Caenorhabditis elegans: one gene and its partner. The protein of the gene in region 1 interacts with the protein of each later gene in a pairwise test. Each region holds a gene or a part of one and is shown on either strand. Other genes may lie near its edges.

Region 1 (6,430 bases):
GCTGCGAATTCTTGGTATCTTGCGATGGTTGCTGCTCGTTGGATTCGATAGATGCTGAAGGTTGCGTTACATCTTCCAGCTTCTGAAAAATGGATCACTGTATGCTAGTTACTAAGCCTGCAAATATTTTTGAAAATCGCAGCGATGGGTCCGTCCCTATTTAGAATTACCATTTCCTTCTGATCCACCTCCCTTTTAACAACAGTCTCCACCACAGCCTTTTCGAATTGTGGTTGTTGTTGTTTCTCCCTCTTTTTTCGCATTTTCTCCCGATTTTCTGCAATTTTCATCTTCCGCTCCTTCTCCAGCACGGCAGGATCGGTTTCGTAACGGATTGGTATCACTTTTGGGGGTTTCTTTGGCTCTGGAATCTCCCACGTTTAGTTAGAAACATTAATCCTAACCTGCCCTCTTTCGGTTTCCCTTTCAGACAATTTGAGGTTATAGTCATGAAAAACATGATCGCGCAGATGACGTTGTAGAATAATAATTGATACATTGTGCAACTTTAATTGACCGGTTGGAAAGTTGAAACAAATTGTTGGAAATAATTCATTTTGCATGGAAGATGTTATCGGTTGAAATTGTGGAAGTTCACGTGAAGGAAATTTTTGGAAAAAATGTGGGAAAAATTACAAAATATATTTGATATGATAAAACTTCTGAAAAATGTCTGAAATATTTGGGCAAGAACTTCTGAAAAAAAAAAAAATTTTCGGAAGTTTTTTAAAAACTCCTTTAAAAAACTAGAGTTATCTAGCTGTTTCCAGAAAGGTCTAGCAAATAAAAATTCCTTCTTCTCCAAAAATTAACAATTTCAGGAAAATCTCCAAAATACACAGAACAATTCAGAATCCGCGAGTCGGAGGGAGCACGCGCTCTGTCCAAAACCAAAAAATACACGTTTATTATAAAAAAATCGTGGTACAAAAATATACAGGCAAGATGATGGTGTTTGTAGAGACTAATTTCAAAAAATAAAAAAAATGCTGAAATTATGGAGGGAACAAAAGAAAAGTGAAAGAATTGCGCACTGACTAGACCGACGGGGAGTGAGAATACACTAAAAACTAGTTTTTGAACATTTTTCGTTTTCTACATTTAATAAAATGAGGAGAGCACCAATAAGAAAACACAAAATAGATATTTTGAAAAATAAAGGAAGTGTTTTTTCAATGTTACAGTAGCCTACCAGAATTTAGGTCTCGACACGAAAATAAATTATGCGCCTTTTAAACCGATCAGGCATATTTTTGCATTTTAGCTTGAAGGCGCAAATCATTTTTTCGTGGGGGGGGGGACCCATATACTACAAACAAAAGACTAATTTTCAAGCCGTTGGAATTTCATTTGCCGTTGGCTCAACTGCGCAATCTTCATCGTGCTCTCCGGTTGGACTATGTGCTGATGGACTGCTACAAGAGTCATCATTGTCTACAATATGGTGGGTGTCATCGGTTTCGTCCAGTAGTGACATTATTTGGTGACGGACCTGAAAAAAGTTGGAGTCTGAACTTGTTGAATATATCTGAAAACAATCTCTCACCTTTTTCCGTTTTTTCGGGTCCATTTTCTTAAGCTTCAACCCAATTATCCGGCTGTACAATAAATCCTCATCATTGAGCCATTCAAGAGCAACCCGACCGACCTGGAAAAAAGTTATATTATTCTAGAAATTCTTTCTTAAAATTTCTAATGTAGGAACACGTTATAAATTTTTGAAATTTGCTGAGAAAAAATCCTAATTTTGGTAAGAAAATCCAGAAACTTCGATTTAAAAATCTCTTAAAACTTGAAATAAATATTTAAATTCGAAAAATTTTTTTTAACTAGAAACACTTAAAATGTTTCCGAATATATTTTTTTAATAAAAATTAAATTTTAATAATCTAGAAAGTAATTAAATGTAATTCAGAAAACCAAAAAAAAATTCTGAAAATTATACACTTCAACCTTCAAAAAATCATTCCGAAAAGTTCATTAAAAAATTTTTTAACTTTAACATTTTTTCTTGAAAATCACTAAATTTTCCGAAAAAAGGTAACATTAAAAAAAACAGAACTAAATCCGAAGTTTCCAAGAATTCAGCAAACTATTTTCAATCGCATCTAATATTTTTTACAAAAAATCTAGAATTTTTTTTTAATTTAAGAAAGTTTCAGAGAAATTATTTTAAAAAAATCAAAAATCTCCAAAAAATCCAGGAAAATCACGATCCTTCCGAAAAAAATTTTTTTTACCAAATGTTCCAAACCCGCTCACCTGTTGCAAATGATATCTCATAACATTATCCGCAGTCTGCTGCCTATGCCTATTCCTCGCCGCCTCTTTATAAGGATGGAAGTGGCTCGTAGTGGACGCGGTTGGCGGTGGTGTTGAAGGTCGGAGCGGCGGGATCGCTGCCTCCTCGGATTTCCTGGCTCCATTGAGCATTGAACTCATCCCAGTGAGCTGTGCAGCAAGATGGTGTGCAAATCTAGCCTGATTCGCTGCTATGAGGGACTCCACTGATGGTTTCTGTGGGGTCTGTTGGACCTGCTGGACCTGTTGAGCCTGCTGAGTCTGCTGTTGGCTCTGAGCACTTATAGCCTCCTTGAGCATCGCCATAGCTTCGGATTGACTTTTCACCTTTTCTGGGCCATCTTCCTCTACTTCATCTTCATCTTTTATTTTAAGATCTTCCTCCTCATCTCCATCCCCATCAACTCCATCTAGATTTCCATCGAGACTTTGAGTTCCAGATTCATCATTTTCAATTTCAGGGGATATACTGTCCAATCGTTGGGCGGTTTGTGCAAGTAGTCGGTCTAAAACCGAAGATTCGAGTGCTGGATCACTATCATCATCTTCCATCTCGTCTTTTATTGAATTTAAATTTGGAAAACCGAACCAGCTGAACGGTGTGCCTGATGGCTCATCAAAAGAGTCAGATTTACCAGTTTTTTTGCCTTCATCTGCTGCTTGACCACTGCAAAAAATAGACTTTGAAGATGAGAATTTTAACTTATAATCGCGGAGTTCTAAATTATTATTTTTTACTTTTCAGATTCTTTTTGATATATCTTGAATTAATTTTTTGTAGAAAATTTTAATTTTTTTTCAAAATATTAAATTTCGAATCGATCAGTTTTTTGTCGATAAATTGTTTTTTTTTTAATTTTTATAATTTTTAATTTAAGAAAAAAAAGAATTCTGGAATTTTAATTAAATGTTTTAGTATTTTTGAAGTTTTTTTTTGAATTTGATTTTATCTACAACTTTTGATTTTTTAATGAGATTTTTCAAATTTTTTTTTCTGAATTTTTGAAGTGTTAATTTAGACTCTTTAGATATATTTCAAATTAGGTGAACTTATTTTTTAAATTTCAGTTTTTTGTTTTGATATGCCTACAAACCAAAAATTTCGCGGTTTTTCAACAAAAAAATATTAGAAAAAATATTAAAAAATTAGCTTTGTGATGGCCAGAAAAAAACGAGTTGAAAAATAATTATGAAATTCAATTCTTACATATTATCCTTCAAAAACGGGTCCAACCACGATAATTGATTAAAATAACACCATCTAACAGGTGTCACAAATCCATTTTTAATTGCAATCTTTAATTCTTTCCGATATCGATCCCTCAGCTGCAACCATCGTTTCTTCGCAAACTCTGCCGCACAATTCGGGTCAATATTTTTGGCGATTGATTCCCAAAGTCGTTGACGTTCCATTGTGTCCCCGCTGCCACGTCGTGAATGATTATATAGGCACGGGTACTTACGAACCTCGTTTATCAGACGGGCGTTAAACGCCGGCTGGAAGGCCATCTGTTTGAGTGGATTTAAATTTAGAAGGGGTCTGAAACGGAAAAATTTGAGATTTTTAGAAAAAAAAGGCTAAGGGGAGTCAGAAGCTGGGATAATCTAGAAATGGAAAAAAGGAAATAAGACATAAGAATATATATATATATATACATATATCCGTTTTTTGTTTCAAATGTTGAATTATTTTTGAAAATTATTCTTTTAACTATTTTAATTTGGAGAAATGTAGAAAAAATTGTGTAATTAAAGGGAAATTTTAAAATATTCATATTAAAAAATTGTTAATTTTTGTTTAAAACATTTTCAAAAGATTAATATTTGCAAAACCCAATTTTAAAAAATCTTAAAATTTCTAAAATCAACACAAAAAAATATTTTTTGAATTTTCAGTTAATGTTTTTTAAATCAAAATTTTTCTGAAATATTTCTGATAACAAAATATTGAAAACTGGTACTTTTAAAAAAGAGAATTTCAAAAAAATTTAAATCAAAACATTAATTTTGTCGAATGCCGAATTGTTTTTCAAAATCATTTTCAGATTTAAAAATTTTCTGGAAACTTTAAATTGTGAGATTTTTTAATAATCTAGATTATAACTTTCTGAAATTGCAGAAGGTTACGTTTTAGTACTTTAAAACAAAAATCTTTTTAAAAAAATATTTTAATTTTTTTGTCAGAAATTTAAGTAAATTTTGGCAATCTGCCAAAAAAATCTCTGTAGATCATGCAGAGGAATCTAGACACAAAAAGCCAAAAAGCCTGAGTGTGTACTACGACATGGTTAGTCTTCCAAAATGTAATAAAAAGTTTACACACTCTTTCGTGTCATTTCTCTCTTCTTCAATTCCATCTAAATCTCATGATAAACTACCGTAAGACACAATTGAAATGGTTTAGACTGAAAATCTAGGAGAACCGGTAGTATGTGTGGGTGGAGATGGAGTAGAAGAAGAAGGGGAAGAAGCTCTATGTTTTTTCCGGTGCAGGAAAATTGGAAAATTGGGGGATATTCGGTTTTTTATTTTGCTTTTAGTTGAAGCTTTAAGCGGAATTGGGAATGAAAATTAGAGGGAAATTGGTTGACGAAAGTTGCACAAAGTTGATGAAAATTGGTGATAGTATAGCGAAAGTTAAAATAGACTGAAATTGAACAAAAGTCTGCCAAAGATCTACCACAAGTTTGAGAAAAACGCAACTTCTTGAAAAACACTGGTGAAAATTGATGAAATTTTGGCGAAGGTTGGTCGGAGTTCGTAAAAACCTTGCGGGGATTGCTGAAAGTCTAGAAAAAATTAACAGAAGTTGGCAAACGTTGCTCAAAATGTCGAAGATCTGATAACAGTTGCAGAAAATTGTCGTAGATTCAGAAGAAGTTGTTTCTTGCCGAAAGTCTAGCGACAGTTCGCGAAAGTTGTTTTTAAAAAATATTGAAAGTATAGAAACAATTCAAAAAAGTTGGTCAAAAATTGAGCAGCAGTTTGGAACTATTGCAATTGCTTTTTGAAAGTTGACAAATGTCTAACGAAGGTTGGCGAAAGTTGGCAAAACTTTAGCAAAATCTGATAAAAAGGTATGGATTGTTGTAAAAATAGATAATTCGGGAAAAATGGAAAATGTCATTAAACACAATATCTCAGCAGGGGGTGGCTGGCTGACAATCTCCCCCGGTTAGGCTTCTCCTTCTTTTCTTCCCCCAACACAACCATCTTCATCTCCTTCAAACCGAATCATATCAGATAAGAAGCCGTTGATCCGCCCGAAAAAGGAAGGAAACGAACAAAATCCGGATTGCGGACATCCGAACTGAAGCTGGGGTAGGGGCAAAATAGTGTGGAGCAGCGATAGACGCAGAGGTGGTGGAGACCGGCGGAATGGGATGGCGGGGATCGAAGACGTTTAACACAACATTCGACTATGATAACACATTTTTAGAGTGATTTGATTTGATTTGTTTCTGTTTTTTCAGATTTCGGTTTGGGTATTCCGGATTTTTATGCTTTTAGGAGCAGGTGACCGCGAAAATAAAAATAAAAATCGGCCATGGCGTGACTTCAAAGTTTCAGAAAATTTTTAAAATTTCGGAATTAGAATTTACCTTCAAAATATCAAAGGAATTTCAGATACCTGCTCTTGGACCAAAGAAAAAAAATTAAGTATTTTAAAAAATTATAGAAAATGTGTTTGTGAAACTTTCGTAAACTTTCGTTCTTTTTTTGAGAATAAAAATTGTTTCCTAAATACTCAGAATTTGTTTAATTTTCTAGTTCTTTTCTAAACATAAACTTTTATTTAAAAAATTTCTAAAATTGGAGATTTTGTGAATTAAAAAAAATTATTCAAAAATTACCGATGTTTTGAGAAATGAAATTTCCTGTTATTTCAGTATTTATCAAAAGTGAAACTTTATAAAATTCCGGATAAAAATCCTTTAAAAATCGAAAATTCGATAGAAAGCTTGTAATTTTCTAATAAAAGTTTGAAAATTTCCAAAAAATATAAATACTAATTTTTTCAGAAAAACTGAAAGATTTATTTTTCAGCAAACTCTTTAAAAATTCAGACAAAAATCAGAAATGTTTCCCAAAATTCGAATTAAAATTAAATTAAAAAATTTTCCAAAAA
Region 2 (9,107 bases), 1.4 Mb from region 1:
ACCAAGGCTGTGGTATGTTTTTTATTGGAAAATTTACAAAAATAGTAATTTTTTTAATTGGAAAATTTCCAAAAAAAAATCCGCCGAATTTCTTTTCCAAAACTTTTTTTTTCGTTCAAAGTTTATGTTTAAGATAATTCCAATTAATTAATTCTCCTGTTTTAATCACATTGTTGTTTTCTTCAAAAGAAAAACTGAAAAATTACTTTTAAAAAATGAAAAAATGAGCTTGAAAAATCGTTCTCGTGTGCTGTATTCTTAGTTTTGACGAATTCTAAAAAAATATATTATCACCCAGACTTAAAATTTAATTCAAAATTTTAATTTTTGAGTCAGACACACTGTACCCGGTTTCGTAACGACAAATTCTTTTCAAATGCGAAAAGGCGAGCGCCTTTAAAGGTTACTGTAGTTTGAAACTCTTATTAGTCAAGCTTGAAATATAGTTTTTCTATTAAAAAAAATTATATATTTATTTAAAAGCTCAAATATAACAATAAAAACACAATAGATTTTGACAAAAATGATAAAAATCAAAAATCGAAGTTTTCCTCACGATTTGTTAAGATTTATTGTGTTCTTACCGTTATATTTGAGCTTTTAAATAAAAAAAATGAATATATTTTTTTAACAAAAAAAACTATAAAAAATCAACAAAAACTCAAAAATTGTTTTTTTTTTCAAAATTCTTGTTGATGCGGTTTTTTCATTGTTTTTCAAAAATTATTTTTAATTAAAAAACTCAAATATAACAAGAAAAAACATTAGGAGTTGACAAATCGTGGAAAAAACTATAAAAAGTCGATAAAAATTCTGCAACATTGAAATATTGAAACTACAGTACACTTTGAAGCGGCACACCTTTCCTCCGCGCTTCAAGAAAATATTTCGTGTCGAGACCGGATACCGTAATATTTTGCGCAGAAATAGCAGAATTTATAGCCCTAAATAATACTATTTCTTCAAAACCTTAAATTCGCACAAATTTCTGGATAAATTTTTGAATTCAAAAACAAAACAGTTTTTATTCAGGTTCTGCTCTACAACGTGACAAAAGACGTGATTCTCTACGGAGTGAAGTTGACTCAACAGACCTATTACGTAGTCTTGGCGATTGCTGCTCACATGCAAAATGGCTATCGACGATTCGCGTCAGGAGTGGACCGGCTCACGGACAAGTACAACAAGGTCCGCCAACGGATCGGAAAGTGAGCAGCTGTGCGGAGCATCTCGATCGAAAATACTCACTTATTCCTTCAAATTTTTTTTTTGCAAAAAGTCCCCGTTCAATTGTACATTTGCCTGTTTCAGAATTGTTCACACGACTTTCTAGATGCCTTTTCTTTTTGATTTTCGTAGTCAGTATGCATCAATTTCGTTTTTCCCGTCTCTTTTTTGCTCCATATTCCGGTTTTATTCCGTTTCTCCCTCCCAAAAAAAAAGAAAAGAACCAACCTCATCCAAAATTTTTAGAGAAAGAAGCTTAGGATTTTGCGCTTTTTGCAACGTGTATTATCCCTTGTGTGAAATAAAATTAAAACTTTATTTAGGGGGAGCAATAAAAATAATTAATATTAGGAGATAAAAAATTTTCAAAAAAAGAAGCGAAAAAAATATTAGTGAGATGTGTATCAGGTGGTCCCATTTTTATTATAAATTTAAAAATCTTTAAAAAAAAGGATTTAGGACCACTTGCTACTCAAATATTATTAGTAACTAATCGTTGAACAATACTCACAGACAAGGAAGACAAACAAATTTCAAATTAAAAAAAAACTGAAAAATGTCACCACAATTCAAGATGTTTAGCCATATCCTCTGCAAGATGGTCGAATCCTGGAATTGATGACATATTATCATCGTCTTGTTGGAAATTGGAAGGCACTGGAGGAAAGGCTGCTCTCCGTTTTGCTGAAAATTCGGAATTTTTTAATTTTAAATTGAAATTTGTGTTTTTTCCACGAAAAAAAAAACCATTATTGATCTTTCAAATTTGCGAGTGAAATATGACGCTTTGTGTCGGTGTTTGCACAGTATTCGGATTCTGTGGTTCACTGCACCTAGTACCTCGTATTTGACGCGCAAGTTTGAGAAATTCAAGCTCACAAGTTTTTTCAAGAAAAATTACAAATTTCACACAAAAATGGGGGAATAATTTATTACGGGAACACAGAATTCGGAGAATGCGTATTGCACAACATATTTGACGCGCAAAATATCTCGCAGCGAAAACTACAGTAATCCTTTAAATGACTACTGTAGCGCTCGATTTTCGAAATGAATTTCTTTTCAAAAATCTAGAGCCCTGCACAGCCTCCTGGAAATGACCCAACAAGGGGGCTTGCGCGTTTCTCGTGAGCGTGGGAAAATTTTACCGTTGAAAAGTGATTTCCTTCAGTTTTCACGGGTTTAAAATCGATTTCAAACTTTTTAATTACGTATCAATTGTAAAGCTAATTAAGGGCAAGGTGGAAAAAAAAAGATTTTTGATTTTGGTTCAAAAATAAAAGCGCTGATATAAAAAGAAAAAACCGCTAAAAATTGAGTTTTTCTCATATTTCGTATATTTTTCATCATTTTTCTAGTGGAATTTGATGTTCATTTGAAAAGTAATCTTCCACCAAAGCTTATGTTATGAAAAATATGAAGAAAAACAGTAAATTGAACGTTTTCGGAAATTTCTCAATTTTGCACGCGATGCACGAGAAGTGCGCCAACAAACCAAAATTTCCACTGGAGGAGACTGTGCCCTGTAAATCGACACAAGCGCTGCAGTAGTCATTTAGAGAATTACTGTAGTTTTCGCTACGAGATACTTTGCGCGTCAAATATGTTGCGCAATACGCATTCTCAGAATTTTGTGTTCCCGTAATATCCCATAAATCTAACCTGTCACAAAATGTGGTTGAATTCCCGTGGAGCCGTTGGGAAATGGCGTCTCAAATGGGCTCATCAAATTATTATTATTGATTGAAGACATTTCGGGTGGCAAGAAAAAGGACGAAGATTCCAACGGCCAGCTAGGGTGAGGACGCGTGGCTGAAAAAAAAATTTCAAGGAATTTATTGAAACTTGTTTTTTTTCTAAAAAATTATTTTAAAAAACTCACTTTCACAATTCATCTGAGCCATTGGAGAACGCATATGACTGGAGTCAGAACTCGATTTCATCGGTGAAGATTGCATTTCTAGACCGCCCATCGGTGGCGGCTGTTGATTATACGAGTTTCTCGTATTTCCTGTCATAATCTGTGATTCCACGTGATCCCGTAAATCTGCGAGTGCGTGGCGCTGCGAGACCTGAAAATTGGAGTTTTTGAATAATTACAGGAATTTGCGATTTTTGCGGCATAGGTACGGTACTTGGTCTCGACGCGAAATATTTTTGTTGGTGAAGCAAATATACAATAAGGTGTGCGCCTTTAAAGAATAGTGTAGTTTCAAAATCTAGTAAAAATTGTCGTGTCGAGACCGGGTACCGCAATTTTGGGCAAAAAATCCAAAATTTCTAGTCTAGATAATACATTTTAGTTTCAAAAGATAGCCGACTTGAATTTTCTAGGCCACCTCTCCATCACTAACCTCATAAAGCTTATCAGCTCTGATATATGCATTTGGCTGATTATCGGGATGAATAAAAAGACACCGTTTGCCATAGGGGCATAGTCCAGTGGTAGTGTACTTGTCACAAAGTTTCGTCTTGTACTTGTTGTTTTGTCGTGATTCCAGTCTGAAAATATTCAGGGTTTTTGCGCGTCAAATTTCAGGCAAAGCGGCAAATTGCAGGAGTTGAAATTTCCGGCAAATCGGTAAACTGCCGGAATTGAAATTTCCGGCAAATCGGCAAATTGCCGGAATAGAAATTCCGGCAAATCGATAAAATTCCGGAATTGAATTTTTCCGAAAATCGGCAAATTGCCGGAATTGAAATTTCCGGCAAATCGGCAAATTGTCCACCCCTGCGCCAAAAGTTATGCGCAAAAATTTTGAAAACTCACTTCGCCGGGCGCAGCTCTTCCTCTCCATGTGCAAATCGGCAATTTTCAGCAAAAGTGCATGTTTTCGACTCGAGCCATGCCTGACAAATGACCGTCTTGTAAGATTCGGGCTTTTGCATCCGCCGTTCGCCGCGAGGGGGGCGTCTGGAAAATGTAATTATTAGGAGAAACTCTAAAAATGGTTTTTTTTTGTGGAAATTTTCCACTACTTTGACACCTTACATCTTAGTTATTTTAAGCGCTATGAAAGCATTTTCAACTACAAAAATATTTATCACATTATCAGCTACATTAGTGCAGTTAAAAACTTTTTGATATCACAAAAAATAGTTTAGATACATGCGTTGAAACTTGGTACGTTATCTTTGAATTTTTTCAATGGTTTTTGATTTGGTTTTTTCACATTTTTTCCAAATCAAAAAGATTTTGAATTTCTTTTGGTTTAACAATTTGAATAATTAAAACTCACTGTGGAAACCCGTGATGTGGTGATATCGAATTCGCTACAAATGGCTGATCGACTGGATTTGAGGAGTATCTGAGTGCTCGCATCTGGTTCGTCTGGATTTGCTTGTTTCTGAAAAACAGTGTTTGGTGTTTAGGTTTCAAACATAGCTTCTTGCCCAAATTTGGCACAAAAAAGTTAACTTGGGCAACAGTTGGGCAAGACATTTAGGCCCAAAGTTTAACCGAAATTTGGCCCAATTCTGCTTTCGGCAATTTCGGCAACTGCCAAATTTGCCGATTGCAGAAAACTCCCGAAACCGGCAATCGTCAGAATTGCCGGTTTTCGGAAATCAGAACTGCCGGACCTTAAACATGCACTTTAATGAACTTTTTTTTTTTCAAGCTCAAAGTAATGTAATTTTTGAACCGGCTATTGTCAAAATTGCCAATTGCCGAAAATATCCAAAACCTGCAGTTTCCGATTGCCGAGAATTTCTAAAACTGGCAAATGCAGAAATTGCCAATATTGCCGATAATTTCTAAAACCGGCAATTGCACAGAATTGCCAAATGCCGAAAATTTCCAAAACCGGCAATTGCCGAAATTCCAAGTTAATTTTTTCGGGCAAAACTTGCGCAAGAAACTGGAGCCAAGCAACAAAATAAAACTAACTCTGCAATTTCCTTTCTCAATTGCTCATTCACCGCAATCAGGTTAGCAGTTTCAAAAAGCAACGAGTTCAACTGAGTAGTAGGACTCGGTGGCCCACTCTGCGATGATGATCCTTGACTATGACTAGGTGATGAAGCATGAACTCCCGATGAGAATACACCACTGTCAGCTGAACCAGTTGACATGGACGATGGTGGACGCTTGTCAGACTTTTCGAGATCTCTGGAAAATAAATAAGTTGTGGGTATGAAATAATCCAAAAAAGTTGGGATGGGGAGGGGAGGAAGTATCATTATTGCCAGTTTTTGGCGTTGTCACTGTTCTGTCCACTATATCTCGGCTGATAAAACCGTTCGAGTGATAACGAACAGGATATTTATTTATCTCTTCTGTTCACAAATAGTGCACTTAATCTCACTAGTTAGACTTATCAAGCTTTTTCAAAATTACAGCTTTAGCTGTAAAAAATGTGACACGTAAAATATAGTGCATCAATAATTTCAATTAAACCTTTTAACAAATTGCACAAAAACTGATTTAATATCAATTATGAAAATTTTATTTAAAATTTTGCTTTGACTTTTAAAATTAAAAATTTCTAAAAATTGCACATTTTCAAATTGCTCCAGCTTACACTTTTGAAGGGAATTTTTTGTGGTAATAAAATTATTAATTAGATATACATATTCTTGACAAGAATATATAGCCATGTCACAATGGAACACCAACTGAATAAGTTATGAACTTTTTTAAAACTTTTTTTTAATAAATGGAGGTTTCAACTAAACTTTTAAGGAAGCTTTAATATATATTTTAAAGTGTTTTCAGCAAGGATAATATTCAGAACAAATATTTTTGAAAGCTTTACGCGTTTGGAATTAAACAAAAAAAAACAAAGTCAAATTTTCTGTGTAGGCACAAAATCATACACTTTTTAATCAAGTTTTTAAGCATTTTTTTAGAACTTCAGATTTTCTGTCCCTATGCACTATGCATATAGGCATGTAGGCACAAAAAACCTACGTGCCTACTTCCCTACCTATTAACTAGACAAATTCTTCATCTATTTCTTATGTTTTCATATTTCTTTAATAATTAGTCGATATATATGTACAGAGGCGGCCAATTGCCGTTCGGCAATTTTTTTGTCGGCACATTTTTTTTGACGGAGATTTTCAATTCCGGTAATTTGCCGGTTTGTCGCTTGCCGGATATCAGATTTGCCGAAAATGTTTAAAGGGATTTTTTTATAAGACGAAAACACTTAAAACCTTGATTTTTTGATGCGTGCAATTTTGTCTATTAAAATTGAAATTCCGAAATTTCCAACAAAAAAACCGTGCAAAACCACAATTTGCCGGAAATTTTCGACAATTGCCGATTTGCCGGAATTTTTCATTTCCGGCAGAAATGTTTATTATTTCCGCGATTTTCTTTAGATATTTTCATAGAATTTGCTTACTTTTTAAAATAGTCGTAGTATTTTGCCGATTAAAATTTAAATTCTAAAATTTCCAAAAAGCTTTCAAAGCCGTTTTTCCGGCAAATTCGGCAAATTCAGCAATTCGCCGGTTTGCCGATTTGCCGGAAATTTGTATTTTAGCCTCGAAAATTCTAAAAGTATCGTCAAAAATCTCACCCTTTCACCTTGCTCATCGTGCGCCTTCCCTGACTTGATTAAATATGTAAAAAATCTGAAAAACGGGATGAATGTGTCGCGGTCAGCCAATACCCCTGAAAACTGTGAAATTCGTGAAAAACACGGCGGGCACAAAAATTTCAGGGTCAGTTGCGGATAAACGAGAATGAGAGAACAGTGAAAATGAGAGAAGATTAAACATAACTATGACACACAAAATATTTGATATTTGAAGAGGTTATGTACTTAGAGGGGAAGTTGAAATGAACTGAAATTTGAAAGTAAAAAACACGGTCTGAAAATAAGGCGAGAGATCGAGAGACGCAGAGAAGCGAAGAACCGGTCTCGAGAAATGACAATTCATGTGATGGTGATAAGAACAAAAAAGAATTGTGAGCAGTCTATTACACAAGATACGAGGGGTTCGACATGGACTTAACAGCTGATTTTTATTCATGTGTCCGCTAGTTCGGAGGGGGCATGTGATTGCGATCAGTTGATTGGAGATCATTGGATCAGGGGGTATATCAGTTAAAAGTAATAGAACAGGGAGAAACATGATTTTAAAATCCAGTATTTTCAAAATTCTGCGATGCTCCCTACAAAAACCCCAGTTGAAAGAACTTTAAGATGTTTAGGAGCCCTATAAAATATAAAATTACCCAGTTGCGGAGTTTTCTGCTTTTTGACACAAAAATAAATGCGATAGAATCAGGGCTGGGCGGCAATTGCGGTTCGGCAAATTGATTTGTCGACAAATTCGACAAATCGGCAAATTGCCGGTTTGCCGATTTACCGGAAATTTTCATTTTCGGCAAATTGCCGATTTGCCGTTTGCCGGATATCAGATTTGCCGGAAATGTCTAGAGGGATTATTTACAGGACGTAAACACTTAAAACTGTGCCATTTTGAATTTTTCCCGTTTTTTCTAGTTATTTTAACAGAATTTGCTTACTTATTGAAATAAATGTAGGAATATTCATAGGATGTGCTTAATTCGGCTGTCTGAAATTGAAGTTCTGAAATTTCCAAAAAAAAAAGGGCAAAAAATTTTTGGCAAATTCTGCAAATCGTCAATTTGCCGGTTTGCCGGAAATTTCCAATTTCGGCAATTTGCCGGTTTGCCGATTTGCCGGATCGTTTGCTGCCCACCCCTGGTACGGATTACGAAACAACTTGAAATTTGCAGTTACCGCACCTACAAGTGATTCGAAATTGTCTTGCCTGTTTTTGACACTATTTAAAACTCAGAAGCTTCAATTTTTTGGAAAATTTTGCAAACACATAAAATATCGAATAATTGTTCAAAATACATATCAGAATACTTGCGGGTACTGTGGCTGTGGTCGTGTAAAATATGCATTGTCTCTACAAAAATTTTTTGATGTTTTTGTGTCCAAAAATTCTAAAAAATGAGCTAGCGTGGCATTTTCTCCCAATATTTGTCATTAAAATTGAAAAAAAAATACATATAACTATATTTGCTTTGTCAGACATTAACTTGTATTTTAAATATTTAAAACAACTGAATCCAGATTGAAAACATGCACCAAAATTGTCGGTAAGTTGAAAATTGTCGGAATAAAATTCGACGAACATTTTTGAGAATTTTCAGTTTCTCCAAATCAAGTGAAAACTATATTTTTGCCTACCTCAAACCTACGCCTTATAAGACACAAGTTTTGAAGGTTTTGATCCAAACTAAAAACTATGGATCAGCTGTTCCTGAGCTCAAATTTGAAGCTAGAGCCTAAAAAGACACAATTGATTTGCAATGTAGGAACGCTTGGCACAAATTTAAATATTAGATGAAGCTCAGAAAAATGTGATTCTAAATTGTTAAGGGAAAATGAAGAAGCCAAACTGGAAGATTAGGCAATCGAAGGGGAAATGATTGAGAGAAAACTTGGAAGGGCGGGTAAGAACGGGCAGTTTGGAACTGCTTTTCTATTCCGATTGCGTAACAAATGGAACAGAAAAAGACAGAGAAAGAAAGAGAGAGAGGTAACATGTTTGCTGAGTGACCGAAAACGAAAGGATTCAGAGATGAAGACGCTAGCGAAAGGTGTGAGTGTAACATGCGTTTCCATTTCTTTCAGAAATCCACTGTAATGAGTGAAAAGATGGTGATGCGCAAAAGTGAGTATTAGAGGGGCAAGCGAAAAGATATACACACACACACGCATTATAAAAAGTGAAAAATTAAAGCAAAAAGGGCAAAAAAGGAGGCCCGTGTGGAACCGGACTAAATGAAAAGGTTTTGCCGAAAGAAGAAGAAGCAATGCCAGACTATTGCATCAATGCGATTAGGATCAATTGGCAATACAACAAACACGAAACGGCATCGACTT

Evidence for each region. The genes of interacting proteins can lie anywhere in the genome.
Region 2: the proteins of madf-5 (region 1) and moe-3 interact in a two-hybrid assay, tested with the Caenorhabditis elegans proteins (one large-scale study listed by BioGRID).

What each region holds. Positions count from the first base shown.
Region 1 is NC_003280.10:14,571,026-14,577,455, reverse strand, and holds madf-5 (Alcohol dehydrogenase transcription factor myb/sant-like protein), read right to left. Parts: upstream 3,842-6,430; 5' UTR 3,811-3,841; coding exon 3,509-3,810; intron 3,240-3,508; exon of another isoform or gene 3,047-3,239; intron 2,969-3,046; coding exon 2,263-2,968; intron 1,649-2,262; coding exon 1,547-1,648; intron 1,493-1,546; coding exon 1,331-1,492; 3' UTR 895-1,330; downstream 1-894. Other genes in the region: C01G12.13 (uncharacterized protein), read right to left, coding at 1-82, 171-364, 409-499.
Region 2 is NC_003280.10:13,158,884-13,167,990, forward strand, and holds moe-3 (CCCH-type zinc finger protein moe-3), read right to left. Parts: upstream 6,851-9,107; 5' UTR 6,773-6,850; coding exon 6,756-6,772; intron 5,339-6,755; coding exon 5,117-5,338; intron 4,575-5,116; coding exon 4,467-4,574; intron 4,142-4,466; coding exon 3,998-4,141; intron 3,730-3,997; coding exon 3,582-3,729; intron 3,300-3,581; coding exon 3,110-3,299; intron 3,040-3,109; coding exon 2,890-3,039; intron 1,912-2,889; coding exon 1,787-1,911; 3' UTR 1,532-1,786; downstream 1-1,531. Other genes in the region: F32A11.1 (Mitochondrial import inner membrane translocase subunit Tim21), read left to right, coding at 1-12, 1,033-1,212. UniProt on the Caenorhabditis elegans protein: Zinc-finger protein that may play a role in oocyte maturation and fertility.